4 linked regions of the Macaca mulatta genome follow. Each later gene encodes a partner of the first gene's protein in a complex. Links are inferred from orthologs where the notes say so. Each region holds a gene or a part of one and is shown in the gene's direction. Other genes may lie near its edges.

Region 1 (2,766 bases):
AAAACTCATTGCTGATTATTTCAGAGAATCAACTTCCTTTAATGTTCAGGTGCTCCTGACTCTTTCCACTGTTATACCCCTTTAGGGATATTTTTTAGTAGATATTGATAGCATTCATTCAAATTTTAAAAAATTAATTTGACAAATGTGTCCAGCTTTTTAAAGTGCATTATTCTTTATATCAGGCACTGAACTATATGATGGGATCACAGGGGTGGATGATGTAGCCCATTTATTCTCTCAGACTGTTTTTGGACAAGTCTGGGAGATGTAAGGAACTAATTATTGTGCACACAAAAGAACTTATAATAAAATTTTATGAGCATGGAGATACTAGTCTCTGGCAGGGGGCAGGAGTGATATCCAAAAAGTTTTCTCAAAGGAGCTGTTTGAGGTGGAGTCTGGGTGTGACAGTGATGTTCTATTAGGAAGAATGGGAGTGTACTCAATCGTTTAGAGTGGGCTGGAGCAAAGCTGAATCCTGCAAAGTCAGGCCTCATTCAGGCAGAGCACAGAAACACCAGAGGGGCCAAGTGATGGGGGCGTCCAGCTCATTTTTTAAAAATTTTTATAGAGACACAGGGTGTTGCTGTGTTGCTCAGGCTGGTCTCAAACTCCTGGCCTCAAACAGTCCTCCTGCCTCAGCTTCCCCAAGTGCTGGGGTTACAGGCATGAGCCACTGTGCCCAGCCAAGAATGTTTACAAATTTTTTAGGTGAGGTTAACCTTTTAAACCACTCTTTTCAGATCTTCTGTCTACATGGTGGTCTCTCGCCATCTATAGATACACTGGATCATATCAGAGCACTTGATCGCCTACAAGAAGTTCCCCATGAGGTATGACTTTTATTTGATAAAATCTTTCCAGAAAACTTATTAAAGAGTGGAGAGGTTTAATTATAAGATCATTAGATGTATTCTCTCTTATAATTCTCAAAAACAACTTGAGGTGTGAACACTCTTGTCTGCCCTATTGTTCAGAAGAAGCTGACATTAAGAAACCTGCCAAGATCACAGCAGCTGTAGAGCTGGGCTTATTAGGACCTAGGTTGTCTGTCTTAGACTCTGAAATTTGCATAATATAGGCAGATTAATTAAGGCATGTTACTGCTGGGTCCCATGGATGTCAGCTGTGTCTCATAAAGTCTACTGGAAAATACATATTACTTGATGCAGATGTTTGACTTCAACTGCATAATCTACTAGCGTTGTCCACAAACATCACTCAAAGAGGGTGACTTAGGGTGCTGCTTCTGATGAATTACTCAAATAATGTGTTAACCATGTTTGTAAAAGGCATTTTATAACGAAGTTATTTTTTAGGGTCCAATGTGTGACTTGCTGTGGTCAGATCCAGATGACCGTGGTGGTTGGGGAATATCTCCTCGAGGAGCTGGTTACACCTTTGGGCAAGATATTTCAGAGACATTTAATCATGCCAATGGCCTCACGTTGGTGTCAAGAGCTCACCAGCTAGTGATGGAGGTATGCTTCTATTATTTGAAATATGACTTGTTTTTTAGTAAACTTAAGGAGAGAAGATATTAGGGAGTTTTAAATTAATGACATTTGTGAGAAATTCCATCTATTCCTTCTGATGAGTTTACCATTATAGCCTGAGCCTTTTCAGTAGATGCACACTACTAGAATTAAAAGCTCAAGTTGTTGATTACAATGAATCCATTAACATGTTTCCAGAGAAATCTGAATGACTAGGAAGTACTTGGGATCTAAGAGTGGGAAAGTAAGATGTAGGGAGTTGGGGTGTGTATATAATATTTTATGATCCCAATGTCATTTCATATATTTAACATGTATGTATGTAGGAGAGACTGGAAAGAAATACACCAAAATGTTCTAAGTGGTCCTTTGGATGGTAGGATTACAGGTAATTTGAAAGAAGAGAAGGGAAAGAGGCAAAGGTTCTTGACATGCACACTGATTAGCATGTTTCTAAAATAAGGTGCTAATTAGATTAATACTAGTACAACTCTGTGGTTATCAATAAAATCTGACTTTGCTAAAGATAAATAAATTTGTGAACAATACTAAACAAAAAGTAACAAAAGTAGCTCATGCATTCAGATGGATGGATTTTGAGGAAACAAGGCTGGAGATCCTAGAGGCATATCACATTTGTTCCTGGGCAGTGAATGACTTACAGGCCTTTACCTGTAACTGACGAAATTGGTAAGGTTCTGATCTCCAGGATTAGGTATCTACTTCTCTAGGGAATGGCCACTTAAATACTCATTCTTAAATCATGTTTTAAGACCACTGCAATAGAAGAGGCTAATGAGACACCATCATTTACAGCAAGGCAGATACATGAGAAGCAGTTCATTCTTCGGTGGTCGCCACTGTTTGTTAAAGGCTTTTTTTTTTTCTTTTTAGTACTAAAAGCAAATTTTGTAATTAGGGGGAAAACAAATACGTATGTATCTTACAGGTTGTATGAAGTACAGCAAATTATTAAGTCAACCAGAAAAAAAGTATTAACATTTCTTAAGCCCCTTTGGCAGGGGTGGGAATGAGTAGAGATTTTTTTCTCTCTTGAGTGAAGTAGCATTTAGTTGAATTGAGGGAGTAAAGTAAGATTTTTGCCTCCTTTTCCTTGTAGGGATATAACTGGTGCCATGACCGAAATGTAGTAACAATTTTCAGTGCTCCAAACTATTGTTATCGTTGTGGTAACCAAGCTGCAATCATGGAACTTGACGATACTCTAAAATACTCTTTGTAAGTATTTCTACTTGAACATTTTATT
Region 2 (4,261 bases), on another chromosome or scaffold:
CCACTTCCTCCTGGGGAGTCAAAGCACAAACAAAACCAAGTCAGTATGTCAACAAGCAGGGGTGATGAGATGGGGACCCAGGGGTTCAAGGGGCTGTCCTGGATGCATGACAGGGAAACATGGCTTCTTAAAGGACTTGGCAACGCACCATGAGAAAACACGCACCAGGGAGCAAAGAGAAACGCCAGAACCCTCTTGAGGAAGGAGGGGTGTGAGGTGGTCAGGATAGTCATCTGTGCTGAGCCATCATGGAAACTGAGGGCCTGTAAGGGTGGACACAGAGTGGAGGACAGACAAATCTTCCTCACCGGACAGGTGGGGATCCCTGCGGTGCACCAGGGGAATGCACACAGGGGGCACTATGACCTGGCGGCCCACGGGGCAGGGGGGTGCACCAGGTAGCCTTGGGCTCTGCAAGTCCCTCCCTGACCTTGGGGAGGTGACCCCAGTGCCACGACGGTTTCCAGCAGCAGTCACTGTCCTGGGCGGGTACCGCGCTCTAGCCCAGGTGGGTCCCACAAAGGTGTGACCAAGGATGTCCTATGATCACCCCTTTACAGGTAAGGAAACTGAGGCAGAAGATGCGAAGCTCGCGCAAGGAATGGGCTGTGCAGGTAGCTTCTCCAAGGCTTGCTGCGCCCTGGCCTGTGCGCATGATCCCGAGCGGGGTCTCGGTGCGAACAGGGGTTTCGCGGTGTGACCAGCGCCGGCTTATCTCCGAGCCGTGAGGACAAGGCCAACAGCCTGGGCGGCCGCGGTGGATCCTCGGGGCGAGGCGGGGAGGGCGCGGGGCCTTACTGGCCAGCTCGGACCAGGGCTGCGCAGGGCAGAGCCCAAGGGAAACGCCGCGCGGCCGCCGTCACGTCGGAGACGACGCCCTGCAGGCGCCAGCAGACGCAGAAGGCCAGCGAGGGCGAGGCACGGAAGACGCGACGCGACAACGACCACGTGCCCCGCCTGCCCCGCCGCGCGCCCTGCTGGGAGACGCAGTCCAAGCCTTTCGGGAGCCGAACTCGGGGTCCCAGAGAGCCTCGCGGCGCGCATGTGAGCCCCGCCCCTCTCTCGCGGCCTGCCGGGACTTGTAGTGCAACGCCAGCAGACTTCCGGGCCCGGAATGGGCGGTGGGACTCGGGGTCCCAGAGAGCCTCGCGGCGCGCATGTGAGCCCCGCCCCTCTCTCGCGGCCTGCCGGGACTTGTAGTCCAACGCCAGCAGGCTTCCGGGCCCGGAATGGGCGGTGGGACTCGGGGTCCCAGAGAGCCGTGCGCGGGCCGCGACGCCGAATACCGCCCTCGCCGTCGCCTCCTCCGGGCTTTCTCCTGTCGCTGCCGCCACCGCCGTTGCTTCGCGGGCTGGGAGGCCCGGGGTCCCCGGGCGAACAGAGGCTGCGGGTGGGAGCCTTCGCGGGCGCTGCAGAGCGGGCCGGGGGAGGCCGGGATGGAGCCCCGCGGAGGTGGGCGCGCTGCCGGGCGCGCGTTAGCGGCGATTGGGGAGGGGGCGGAGGGAGGGGCCCGGGGCGGGGCTCGGTGGCGGGGACTCCGGGGCGGGGGCACCGGGAGGAAGCTGCCTCGGAAGAGGTGGGGGCGGGGACGGGAGGGGCGGCGAGTCCCCGGGAGCCTGGGCTGTAGGCCCGGGCGTGGCGGGGCCCCGATGGCCTGGGGGTCTCCTGGGGCCCCCCTCCAGCCCGCCGCCCCGGAGCTAGGTCTCAGATGACTGAACTGGGCGCCGACCGCTCCTGCTGTCCCTCGCAGTGGACTGACGCCGCAGGGGCGAGCGAGCCGGCTCCACGCCTCTCCGCGGGATCCAGACGCCTCTCGGGGCTGTCGGCGGAGGGTCTGAGGCGGCCCGGCCATGGCTCACCTCCGGGGATTTGCCAACCAGGTGAGGAGGGTGCAGTTCAGGAAGACTAGCGGCCTCTCAGCGAGGGGCGCCAGAGCTTCCCGGGGGCTCCGAGGGGCGCCTCGCCGGAGCGGGCGGTGGGTGAGGGAAGGAGCGCGCGTCGTGCGACCAGCGGAGCCGTCCTGAGGTGGGCGCAGGGCGGCCCCCGGGCTCTGCCGTGTGCTTGTGGCGTTTTGCGTGGTAGGAGCTCGCAGACCTCTTGACACCGAGCCCCGGGTGGCTCCGCCTGTGCGAGGGCGGCGGAGGTGCGTGAAGAGACACCGGCTCCGGGACAGGACGCTGCCCCCAGCGCGGGGCGGGAACCTCGTGTCGGCATCTGAAGGCAGTGGAAGGTCAGGGGCCACACTGCGGCCTGAGCCCGGGCCACGGGTCGTTCCGGCCGTTCTGGCCGTGTTGGGCTGGGCGGGGGCCGTAGAGGAGACCCTGATGGGCGCTGAGGGGCTGGGAACGTGGAGAAGCCGATCTGAGCGGCCGGTGTGCAGGGAAAGCGGAGAACGCGTGTGTGCTTTGGCCCAGGGGAAGGTGAAAAGGCTGCTCTGTTCAGAACCGTTTAACCCCTGCTACGGGCGGTTGCCCGAACAGGAGGCTCGTCATTCCTCTTTGAAGAAGTCGGTTCCACTATGGAGCCACTTTGAAGCGTCTGGTGGGACAGCCTCGGAAGGAGCCACTACAGCGAGCCCTTAGTCTGGAATGAGGACCAGCTGCTGCTGCCACAGGGCATGCCAGGGAAGGAGGGTGGGGACAGCCAGCCTGGGACCTGGAGACTTGCACTGTGTACCTCTCCCCATTTTTTTGACTCTGGCTGCTGGGTTTTTTTACGTCTTAGCGTTCGGTTTTGCTCTCCTTGATGCCTTGGCTCTGCCTAAGGTGTTGGAATCGCCGCTAAAATGTGTGGCCCTCCTTGTTCACTCCTCTGTGCTGAATTCCTGAGAGCTGGGTGTGCAGTGGAACAGGAAGGGCGTCTGTCCGCATAGGGGCAGGAACTGGAGTCAGGGCTGCTTTGGAGGAAACTGGACCAGCCTAGAGACCCGGAATACCGTGTGCAGCTCTTGGGCCAGGCAGCCTGGACCTGCGCGGTCACAGATGGGACTGGGGCTTGCTGACTGATGCTGAATTAAGCTAACAGATTTTTGACTTTCTGTATCTGGTAACTTACATGACTAAGGTGCTGGGAGAAAAATCTGTCACCAGTTTATTTTATTTTTATTTTTTATTTTTTTGAGACAGAGTTTCACTTTTGTTGCCCAGGCTGGAGTGCAATGGCGCAATCTCAGCTCACTGCAACCTCTGCCTCCCAGGTACAAGCCATTCTCCTGTCTTGGCCTCACGAGTAGCTGGGATTACAGGCGTGTGCCATCACGCCCAGCTAATTTTGTATTTTTAGTAGAGACGGAGTTTCACCATGTTGGTCAAGCTGGTCTCAAACTCCTGACCTCAGGTGATCTGCTTGCCGTGGCCTCCCAAAGTGCTGGGATTACAGGCGTGAGCCACCGTGCCCGGCCACCAGTTTATTTTTAAGAACTGCAGAAATAGCTCCTTTGGGTCACGGGATGAGAAATTGGAGCTCTGAGGTGCCCTGTGACTGTGTGCTGTTGGTTCTTGGTGCGATCAGACCCAGGGAAGGGAGTGGGCGCGCACTGGGGAAGGGAGTGGGCGCACTGGGGAAGGGAGTGGGTGCACTGGGGAAGGGAGTGGGTGCACTGGGGAGGGAGTGTGGGCGCACTGGGGAGGGAGTGTGGGTGCACTGGGGAAGGGAGTGGGCGCACTGGGGAGGGAGTGTGGGCGCACTGGGGAAGGGAGTGTGGGCACTGGGGAAGGGAGTAGACGTACTGGGGAGGGAGTGTGGGCACTGGGGAAGGGAGTAGGCGCACTGGGGAAGGGAGTGTGGGCGCACTGGGGAAGGGAGTGGGCGCACTGGGAAGGGAGTGGGCGCACTGGGGAAGGGAGTGTGGGCGCACTGGGGAGGGAGTGTGGGTGCACTGGGGAGGGAGTGTGGGCACTGGGGAGGGAGTGTGGGCGCACTGGGGAAGGGAGTGTGGGCACTGGGGAAGGGAGTAGACGTACTGGGGAGGGAGTGTGGGCACTGGGGAAGGGAGTGTGGGCGCACTGGGGAAGGGAGTGGGCGCACTGGGGAGGGAGTGTGGGCGCACTGGGGAAGGGAGTAGGCACACTGGGGAAGGGAGTGTGGGCGCACTGGGGAGGGAGTGTGGGTGCACTGGGGAAGGGAGTGGGCGCACTGGGGAAGGGAGTGGGCGCACTGGGGGGGGAGTGTGGGCACTGGGGAAGGGAGTGTGGGTGCACTGGGGAAGGGAGTAGGCGCACTGGGGAAGGGAGTGTGGGTGCACTGGGGAGGGAGTGTGGGT
Region 3 (4,067 bases), on another chromosome or scaffold:
TCTGCTAACACTCGCCGCTCTTATGCTTCAGCAGCACTGCCCTTCTTTCTTTTTCCGCTTACTCAACAAACTCATGGCTGCCTCGGGCCTTAGCACTTGCTATTCTCTCTGCTTGGAATACTCATTCCCCAGATGTCCACGTGACTTGCTGCTGCTTGTCATTTAGATCTCAGCTCTAATTGTCCGCTGCCTTCTATCAGTAGTGCTCCATCACACCATCTTGTTTTTCCTAAGGCTTTACCACTATCTGAAAATAGCCTGCGTTTATTTCTGTATTTTCCCCTCAGTAAGAATTAAAAGTTCTCAGACTAGGGCCCATTTCCTAGCAGTGTTTGGCACATAGTAAGTATGCTGGAAAAAAAAAAAAAAAACCTTGACTGAATAAATGAACAAATAAACTCACTTTTAATGAGCTATCAAGGTTTCATATTAATTACATGAGCCAAGAATAGTGTTTTTATTTTTAAAATGTGAGGACCTACTGGTTTTCCTTTAATCCTTCATACTTCACACATATGCTTGTGCTGGAACTATGACTGTAAATCAGTATCAGTACCATCCCCGGTTTTGGCTTTTTCCCCTAACCTAAACAGTTCTCATTTACTTTTCTCTCCATCTCCACTTCCACACTGTCACCTTAGTGCAAATTACCATCCTCTCTGGCCTTTTTTCTGTAAGGTTTTAATCTCCCAGTATTTGTTCTCCAGACTGCAGGCCAGTGAGCTTTTCAGTTGCTATTATACCCATGCTTGAAAACCCTTTAAGTTTTCATTGTTCTCAAGATAAAGACCAGAATGTGGTCTGGTCCACCACCTCACGTCACGCCAGCCCTCACTCTCCACTCCAGGCCACACTTTCTCCTCCCCTCCTGGTTCCCGCCTGCCACCTGGCTGGGTCGCCCTTGCTTCCCGCTTCCTGCGAAGTTTTACATCGCACCCATTTCGCCCACTTCTTCGGATTTCAGGACACTGTTCCTTCCTCGAGGAAGCCCTCCCTGATTCGCAAGCGCCACTCCCCGTCATACAGCCCCACATCACCATGGGCCTCTCTTTCAGGGCTTTGTTCGTTTTATAAATATGTACTCCAGAATATGACAATCTTATTGACGTTCGTCAATGCCAGTTTGCGCTCAATAGCTATTTGCTGAAGGAATATACGGACTAGCGGCCCGACTACTCCTCGCCCCTCCCCTACCACTGCCGCGCAGATATTACGCATAAAGCAGGCGCCTCGAGGACGGACATCGCGAGCGCCTGCGCGAAGGGGTACGCATGCGCAGAGGGGCCAGCCCGCTGACAGATTCTCGGTGGCGGCGGCAGCGGCGGCGGCCCTGGACTGCGGGGAATGGGAATCCTAGGTCCCTGACTGAGCACCTCCCCCGCCTCCCTGCCCCCGACATGGCTCAGGAGAAGATGGAGCTAGACCTGGAGCTGCCTCCGGGTACGGGCGGGAGCCCGGCGGAGGGCGGCGGCAGCGGCGGCGGCGGGGGCCTCAGGAGGTCTAACAGCGCCCCCCTGATCCACGGCCTCAGTGACACTTCGCCGGTGTTCCAGGCCGAGGCGCCGAGCGCCAGGCGGAACAGCACAACGTTCCCGAGCCGCCACGGCCTGCTGCTACCGGCCTCCCCTGTCCGCATGCACAGCAGCCGCTTGCACCAGATCAAACAAGAAGAGGGTATGGACTTGATCAACCGAGAGACGGTCCACGAACGGGAGGTGCAGACCGCAATGCAGATAAGCCACTCCTGGGAGGAAAGTTTCAGCCTGAGTGACAACGACGTGGAGAAATCCGCCTCCCCCAAGCGCATCGATTTCATTCCTGTGTCACCGGCACCGTCACCCACTCGGGGAATTGGGAAGCAGTGTTTTTCGCCATCCTTGCAAAGTTTTGTAAGTAGCAACGGATTGCCTCCAAGCCCTATTCCCAGCCCAACGACCCGATTTACCACACGGAGAAGCCAGAGCCCCATCAATTGCATTAGACCAAGTGTTCTTGGACCATTGAAAAGAAAATGTGAAATGGAAACTGATTATCAGCCAAAGAGATTTTTCCAGGGCATCACCAACATGCTTTCTTCTGACGTTGCACAGCTGTCAGATCCTGGTGTGTGTGTATCTTCGGATACCCTTGATGGAAACAGCAGCAGTGCCGGATCTTCTTGTAACTCACCAGCGAAAGTCAGCACTACCACCGACTCTCCTGTGTCACCTGCCCAAGCGGCTTCTCCATTTATTCCACTAGATGAACTTTCGTCTAAGTGATTCACTCATCCTGAGACTTTCTTTTTGCAGTGGAGAGAGAGAATAATCAAGTTGGGGCAAACACTGAACTTTGTCAATTAATTTGAGGCTATTTCCTATTCGACCCCTTTTCTTTTTTGAAATTTCCTGAAATGATGTTATTCTAGAGAACTTCTATGTCAGGTTCCTGCGGATACCTTTGAATTCAGTGTAGTAATATTTTCAGACGTTTCCCCAATAAGTGTGTTGAAGCATACATCTTTACGCTGCTACTATGTCTAAATACATATGTTATCCCTTGATTTTTTTAAATAATTGAGAGCTCTATTTATTTATGGGATTATTAAGTTCTGATGAAAATATAAATGTTGACTTAATCAGCATAGTAAACTGATGTTTAAAATTCCATACTTCATGCCCACACTAATTTTTAATGTTATTTTCAGTGGTTTGCCGATTTCCATTTGATGAAGAACTATACAGCTTAAAAAAAAAATACGTTAGTTATATCAATCTAGTGGTTGTCTGTTTTACCCAGGAATTCTTGGATATTTAGTTTTCTGGGTACCGAAGTGGGTGGGAGGGGGAATGATTAGAGAACAAATTATAAAAGTTTGCAACAAATCCTTTCAAATTAAGTATATAAAAGTAAACTTTTAAGGAAAACATTTTTAATGAGATTTTAATAGTAATTCTAGTCAGTCATACAACTATATTATAGAGAAAATAAAAATTTTCCTTTTTTTTTTTTTTTTTTTAACCAGAAAGTGCATTTGCTTGGGTGCAATCCTAAAGTGAAATGGGACAGTGCCTTGCAGTCTTTGCCCACTGTACATAGGCTAAGGCTAAGCTCTTTGTACTACTGCAAACGTAAAAGTTTTTCAAATGTAGAAAATGTGTGGGAAGGCTTGTTGAACTTTGGCGCGCCCAGGTAAACAATACTCTCTCTCAATTGTTGATATACTTTAAAATATTCAGTTGTGCCTCAGTTCCAAAAATTATTGCCAACCAGGAGCCAGAGCAATTTTTGGCTACTTTTCTGCTCTGCCCATCTGTCACCTTACTGGTTTTCCCTTGTTCAGGAAGGAAGCAGCTGTTTCCTTGCCAACAGGTCCCTTCCTTCATCTCCCACCAAAGTAGGGCACCATTGATTAGACAAAGGTACAGTGTAACTTGGATTTCTGACAGCAACAACAGGACTGAATTGTTTAACCTCTGTGGTTAAAGCTACAGCTTGAGTTGACTGCCTTGGGGATGTCCATTAATTAAGGGGTGATGATTTGCAAGAGAAAATTAGTGGAGAGTCACATAGGTAAATCATTATTTAACTTAGGTTTTGCTAAAGGTAGAATAGTCGAATGTTCTTTTCTTTGCCTTTACAATTAAGACAATAAGAATAACAAAATTTTCTTAATATTCTTCCTTATACCTCATATAGCTTCCTTAACTAGATAGTTTGACAGAAAGAATGGCATACAAAGAGGAAAGGGGAAAAATGACTCAGAACAAGACAAAAGCTCTGACTTTTTAAAGTTATCACTTACAGAGACTAACAATTTTGTGGAATTTTTACGACTATGAAAATAAATGGAACTGGTCAACTCTTGATGGTTGCCTCAAGATGGAGTGAAATTGCATTGAGGGTAAGACTGTGTCCACAGGTTTAAAATTCTCTCTTCTGAGTAATAGTGTTCATGTGCTCCCATTCTCAACCTTGTTCTTCAAATTCAAACTTAAATAGTCTGACTTCTTGTTGGGTAACTTGCCCTGCCTCCAGAGGTATTTAAACTTCATTATCTTCAACACAGAAATTGTTAATCTTCTCAC
Region 4 (4,024 bases), on another chromosome or scaffold:
CCACCGGCCTGTCTCTGGGTCTAAGGGTGGGGGTGCTAACTGAAGCCGGGTCCCCCCTGTCTTTCCCGGGTCGTTGGAATTGAATGCTCCAGGACGTGGGTTCAATCCCACTTCTGACGCTGCGCCCGAATCTCCTGCTCTGCCAAACCTGGGACGCCCGCCTGGCCCCACCCCACCCCACCCCATCAGCTGGAGGCCGGGTCGGATAGCGGCCGCAGGACGAGGTCTCCGCTCCCGGGCGCAACCGCACGGCCACCCACGCCGTCCAGGGCCCTCAGTCCCTGGCTCCGCCGCACTCACCACGGTCCTGGCAGCGAAGGCTAACATCTTTGCTGCCCGTCCGCGGACACGCAGTCCGCTCCGCCCCACACACCGGGCAAAGTCCGCGCCGCCGCTGCAGCGGCTGGGGTTGGTGGGTCCTTGCTAGAGCCTTCGGGCCAAGGTCGCTGAGTTACGGCCGCCAGCCGGTAGAGGCGGCCCCGCGCCCACCCTCCGGGCCGGGCAGGCACCGGGGAGGAGGATTCGCGAGGCGGGGCCTGGGCCGGTAGCGGGCCCCGAGCCTGCAACGGAGCCCGGGAGGCTGGCTGCGGGGCGGGGGCGGGGCCTCGATGGGGCGGGGCCTCGATGGGGCGGGGTCTCCTTGGGGAGGGTCAGGAGGGGCGGGGCGTCTCCCGGTAGCGGGTCGCAGTAGGCTGGCTGCGAGCTGGGGACGGGGCCACGGCGGGTGCTGGGACAGAGGGGCGGGGCCGACGGCGAGTCATTGGTTGGGAGGCCCCGCAAGGCGTTGAGATCTGTGGAGTAGGAAGGAGGAGGCCACCGTCCAGCTGTCTCTCCCCCGCCCCCGCGTGTCTTCTAAGCTGTTGGAGGTAGCGGTGTGCACCTCTCCAACTCCGTCTGGTGTTCTTGAGCGTAACTCTTAGAGTGGTAGGAAAACACAACCGTGTTGTCCGGAGAATGTCCTCTCATATTCCTTGGATTAGGGTCACTACCACCCACAAAGATGACAGGTGGTACTCGGGGACAGGAGACTGCCCCGGAAAAACATGGCTGTGCACAACCCAAACTTGACGCCCCGCACAATCATGGCAGCCGCGGCGCCCGTCGTTCCGGCAGCCGTTAGCGGACCTGGCGCTTGGGGGCCGTTGGCGCGCATGCGCCCCGCGCGCCCCGCACTGACATGGCCGTCGCCCGAGTCCGCGCGTCCGCCGCGCGCCGGCCGTTAATGGGCATGCTCCCTGAGCGCCCCGCACCGATATGGCGGCCGTCGTCCCTGGGGTGACTTTAACTCTCGGTTTTCGGTTATAGCCGGCCGGCGCTCACTTGTCTTCAGGAAACCCGGAGCCTTTGGTGGAGCCGGGGAGAGGAAGGGTGGGTGCAAGCGTGAAAGGCGAGAGGGGACTGCAGGCATCCGGGCCGGCTCCTGGCCGGAGCAAGATGGCTGAGGGCGAGCGGCAGCCGCCACCAGGTAAGGCCGGCGGGGCCAGGCCGGGCCGGGGTCGGGTAGGGTGAGGGCGGCGCCAGGTGTGGGAGGCTCAGGAGGGCGAGAGTCAGGACACGGAGGAGCTGGAGGGGCAAAAGCTGAGGGGCCCCGAGGAGAAACTGAGTTGAATGGCCTTAGGGGAGAGGTGGGTGATGGGGCACCGCTGGGAGGGAAGCAGGGGCTGCAAAGGGGTGGTGATTGGGGCGCAGCTCTGGGTTTTGTGGGAGTCTGGGCTGCCCGAATGCCGGGTGGGCAGCACCGTGGTCATAAGGGGGGCCTTTTGCCTCTTTGGGCAGCGCGTGCCTAAGTCAGCCGTGAACCTGGTGGGGAAGTTGCCAGGGAAGGGGGCGAAAGTGATTCCGGAGGCTGCCGTGTTTATTAGTCGCTGCTCAGGGGATGGGGTGGTGCTCAGTGGGCCGCGCCTGCCTCGCCCCCAGTTTCAGCTTCCGCGCCCTGCTCACCCCTCATCCTCCTCCTCTCTGGTTTCCGTGACTGAGAATTTATTGAGGGAAACTGCCCGTGGTGTCTAAACCCCTAATTTTAAAAGGCTGGTTGTGCAAGGAGGTTAGTCTCTCTCTGGCATCTCCTTCGGTAACTCTTATTTACACTGTAGCCTCTTTTTAGTTCATCTCAAATAACTGGGATGGAGGTGCTACGGAAGGATCTTCTTAGAGACCCCTTTCATGGAGAAGGAGGAGGCTGGACTGGCCATAGATAACTTTTACATTCCCGACAGAGAGGCAAGTAGGTTGGCCCACCAAACACAGCTAATGTTTTGAAATCATTTGATATTCCTGCTATCCTGTCTCCAATTTTGTGGTCCCTGGGAAGATCTCAGGAGGGAGAAATGTTGAAAATCAAAAAAGGCATCCTCTCCATGCCCCACAAAAGAGATGAACAAAGAGCTGGGTTCTGTTTCTTAGGACATTCGAAACCAGACATTTTGTACAAAACCTCTGTGTGTGTGCCCTTAGAACAGGGGTGTCCAGTCTTTTGTCTTATCTAAGCCACATTGGAAGAAGAATTGTCTTGGGCCACACATAAAATACACTAACAGTAACTAACAAGAGCTGATGAGCTAAAAAAAAGTCACAAAAAGAAAAAAGTCTCATACTGGTTTTGTGGTTTTTTTCTTTTTTTTTTTTTGAGGCAGCGTCTCACTCTGTCCTCCAAGCTGGAGTGCAGTGGTGTGAACGCCTCCCGGGTTCAAGCGATTCTCCTGCCTCAGCCTCCTGAGTAGCTGGGACTACAAGCGTGCCACCATGCCCAGCTAATTTTTGTATTTTTATTAGAGACGGGATTTCACCATATTGGCCAGGCTGGTCTCGAACTCCTGACCTCGTGATCCACCTGCCTTGGCCTTCCAAAGTGCTGGGATTACAGGCATGAGCCACCGCGCCTAGCCGGTCTCGATCTCTTGACCTCGTGATCCGCCTGCCTTGGCCTTCCAAAGTGCTGGTGTTACAGGTGTGAACCACCACACCTGGTCTATGTTTTAAGAAAGTTTACAAATTTGTGTCCGGCTACATTCAAAGCTGCCCTGGGCTGCGGGTTGGACAAGCTTGCCTTGGAAGTTCTGGTAATGACTCTGGGCCGGGTGGCTCACACCTGTAATCCCAGCCCTTTGGGAGGCTGAGGCAGGCGGATCACTTGACGTCAGGAGTTTGAGACCAGCCATGGCCAACATGGCAAAACCCTGTCTCTACTCAAAACACAAAAATTAGCCGGGTGTGGTGGCATATGCCTGTGATCCCAGCTACTTGGGAGGCTGAGGCAGGAGAATCACTTGAACCCAGGAGGCGGAGGTTGCAGTGAGCCGAGATTGCACCACTGCACTCCAGCCACTGCACCCCAGCCTGGGCGACAGAGCAAGACTCCATCTCCCAAAAAAAAAGTTCTGGTAATGATATCAGGAGAGAGGAGATATAAGGCAACCACTGTTATCAGTGAGATGAATGTGTCCCTTAGGATGAATGGGGGTGGAGAGTGGGAGGAGAGAGAACCTGTGTCCTGAAAGAGAGGAAGGCTCAGGGAGGTTATCCATGGCTGAAAAGAGCCAGGTCCCTGAACATGGTCCTTTTTTGAAATTTGAAACAACTTTTGGGAACAGCTGGAAAGAACTTCTTCTTTTTTGTTTTGTTTTTTTTGGACACAGAGTTTCGCTTTGTCACCTAGGCCGGGGTGCAGTGGTGCAATCTCAGCTCACTGCAACCTCCGCCTCCTGAGTTCATGTGATTCTCGTGCCTCAGCCTCCCGAGTTGCCGAGGCGTCCACCACCATGCCGGGCTAATTTTTTGAATTTTTAATAGAGATGAGATTTCGCCAAGTTGGCCAAGCTGGTCTCAGACTCCTGGCCTCAAGTGATCCGCTGCCTCGGCCACTCAGAGTGCTGGGATTACAGCCGTGAGCCACCGCGCCCGACCAAGAAAGTTCCTCTTAACTCAGTGTAATGATGAAAACTTTGGATTTTGGAGTCACACATATCTGGCTCTGCCTGGCAAGTCACAGCCTCTGTGAGCCTCAGTTACCTCTCTCTTTTTTAAA

What was found.
Region 2: PPP2CA (region 1) and STK25 share a complex: the UniProt entries of both Homo sapiens proteins name them as parts of the core of STRIPAK complex. The link is inferred for Macaca mulatta from reciprocal best matches to the Homo sapiens genes PPP2CA and STK25.
Region 3: the proteins of PPP2CA (region 1) and PABIR1 are in contact, whole or in part, in a cryo-EM structure (PDB 8SO0), measured with the Homo sapiens proteins. The link is inferred for Macaca mulatta from reciprocal best matches to the Homo sapiens genes PPP2CA and PABIR1. Residues at the interface, in NP_002706.1 of Homo sapiens: Arg89, Gln122, Val126, Tyr127, His191, Trp200, Pro213, Arg214, Gly215, Ala216, Leu243, Met245, Tyr265, Cys266, Arg268, Cys269; in NP_612206.5 of Homo sapiens: Asp95, Leu96, Ile97, Arg99, Glu100, Thr101, His103, Glu104, Arg105, Val107, Gln108, Met111.
Region 4: the proteins of PPP2CA (region 1) and PTPA are in contact, whole or in part, in a crystal structure (PDB 4LAC), measured with the Homo sapiens proteins. The link is inferred for Macaca mulatta from reciprocal best matches to the Homo sapiens genes PPP2CA and PTPA. Residues at the interface, in NP_002706.1 of Homo sapiens: Arg89, Gly90, Tyr91, Gln122, Gln125, Val126, Tyr127, Gly128, Asp131, Glu132, Arg135, His191, Asp205, Arg206, Pro213, Arg214, Gly215, Gln242, Leu243, Val244, Met245, Asn249, Asn264, Cys266, Tyr267, Arg268, Cys269; in NP_821068.1 of Homo sapiens: His31, Thr32, Val33, Ser133, Arg134, Phe135, Lys138, Arg141, Asn180, Thr182, Arg183, Arg235, Glu237, Pro238, Gly240, Ser241, Gln242, Gly243, Val244, Trp245, Asp248, Asp249, Phe250, Phe294, Ile295, Met298, Lys299, Thr300, Ala304, Glu305.

The regions. Positions count from the first base shown.
Region 1 is NC_133411.1:143,102,164-143,104,929, reverse strand, and holds part of PPP2CA (serine/threonine-protein phosphatase 2A catalytic subunit alpha isoform), read left to right. Parts: intron 1-746; coding exon 747-836; intron 837-1,322; coding exon 1,323-1,484; intron 1,485-2,619; coding exon 2,620-2,738; intron 2,739-2,766. UniProt on the Homo sapiens protein: Catalytic subunit of protein phosphatase 2A (PP2A), a serine/threonine phosphatase involved in the regulation of a wide variety of enzymes, signal transduction pathways, and cellular events.
Region 2 is NC_133417.1:146,800,741-146,805,001, reverse strand, and holds the start of STK25 (serine/threonine-protein kinase 25), read left to right. Parts: upstream 1-1,461; intron 1,462-1,517; coding exon of another isoform or gene 1,518-1,850; coding exon 1,851-1,880; exon of another isoform or gene 1,881-2,230; intron 2,231-4,261. Other genes in the region: uncharacterized protein LOC106992798, read right to left, coding at 795-1,461, 1,518-1,852. UniProt on the Homo sapiens protein: Oxidant stress-activated serine/threonine kinase that may play a role in the response to environmental stress.
Region 3 is NC_133420.1:99,819,374-99,823,440, forward strand, and holds the start of PABIR1 (PPP2R1A-PPP2R2A-interacting phosphatase regulator 1), read left to right. Parts: upstream 1-1,267; 5' UTR 1,268-1,271; coding exon 1,272-2,261; 3' UTR 2,262-4,067. UniProt on the Homo sapiens protein: Acts as an inhibitor of serine/threonine-protein phosphatase 2A (PP2A) activity. Inhibits PP2A activity by blocking the substrate binding site on PPP2R2A and the active site of PPP2CA.
Region 4 is NC_133420.1:18,531,779-18,535,802, reverse strand, and holds the start of PTPA (serine/threonine-protein phosphatase 2A activator), read left to right. Parts: upstream 1-1,224; 5' UTR 1,225-1,434; coding exon 1,435-1,465; intron 1,466-1,521; exon of another isoform or gene 1,522-1,625; intron 1,626-4,024. UniProt on the Homo sapiens protein: PPIases accelerate the folding of proteins. It catalyzes the cis-trans isomerization of proline imidic peptide bonds in oligopeptides. Acts as a regulatory subunit for serine/threonine-protein phosphatase 2A (PP2A).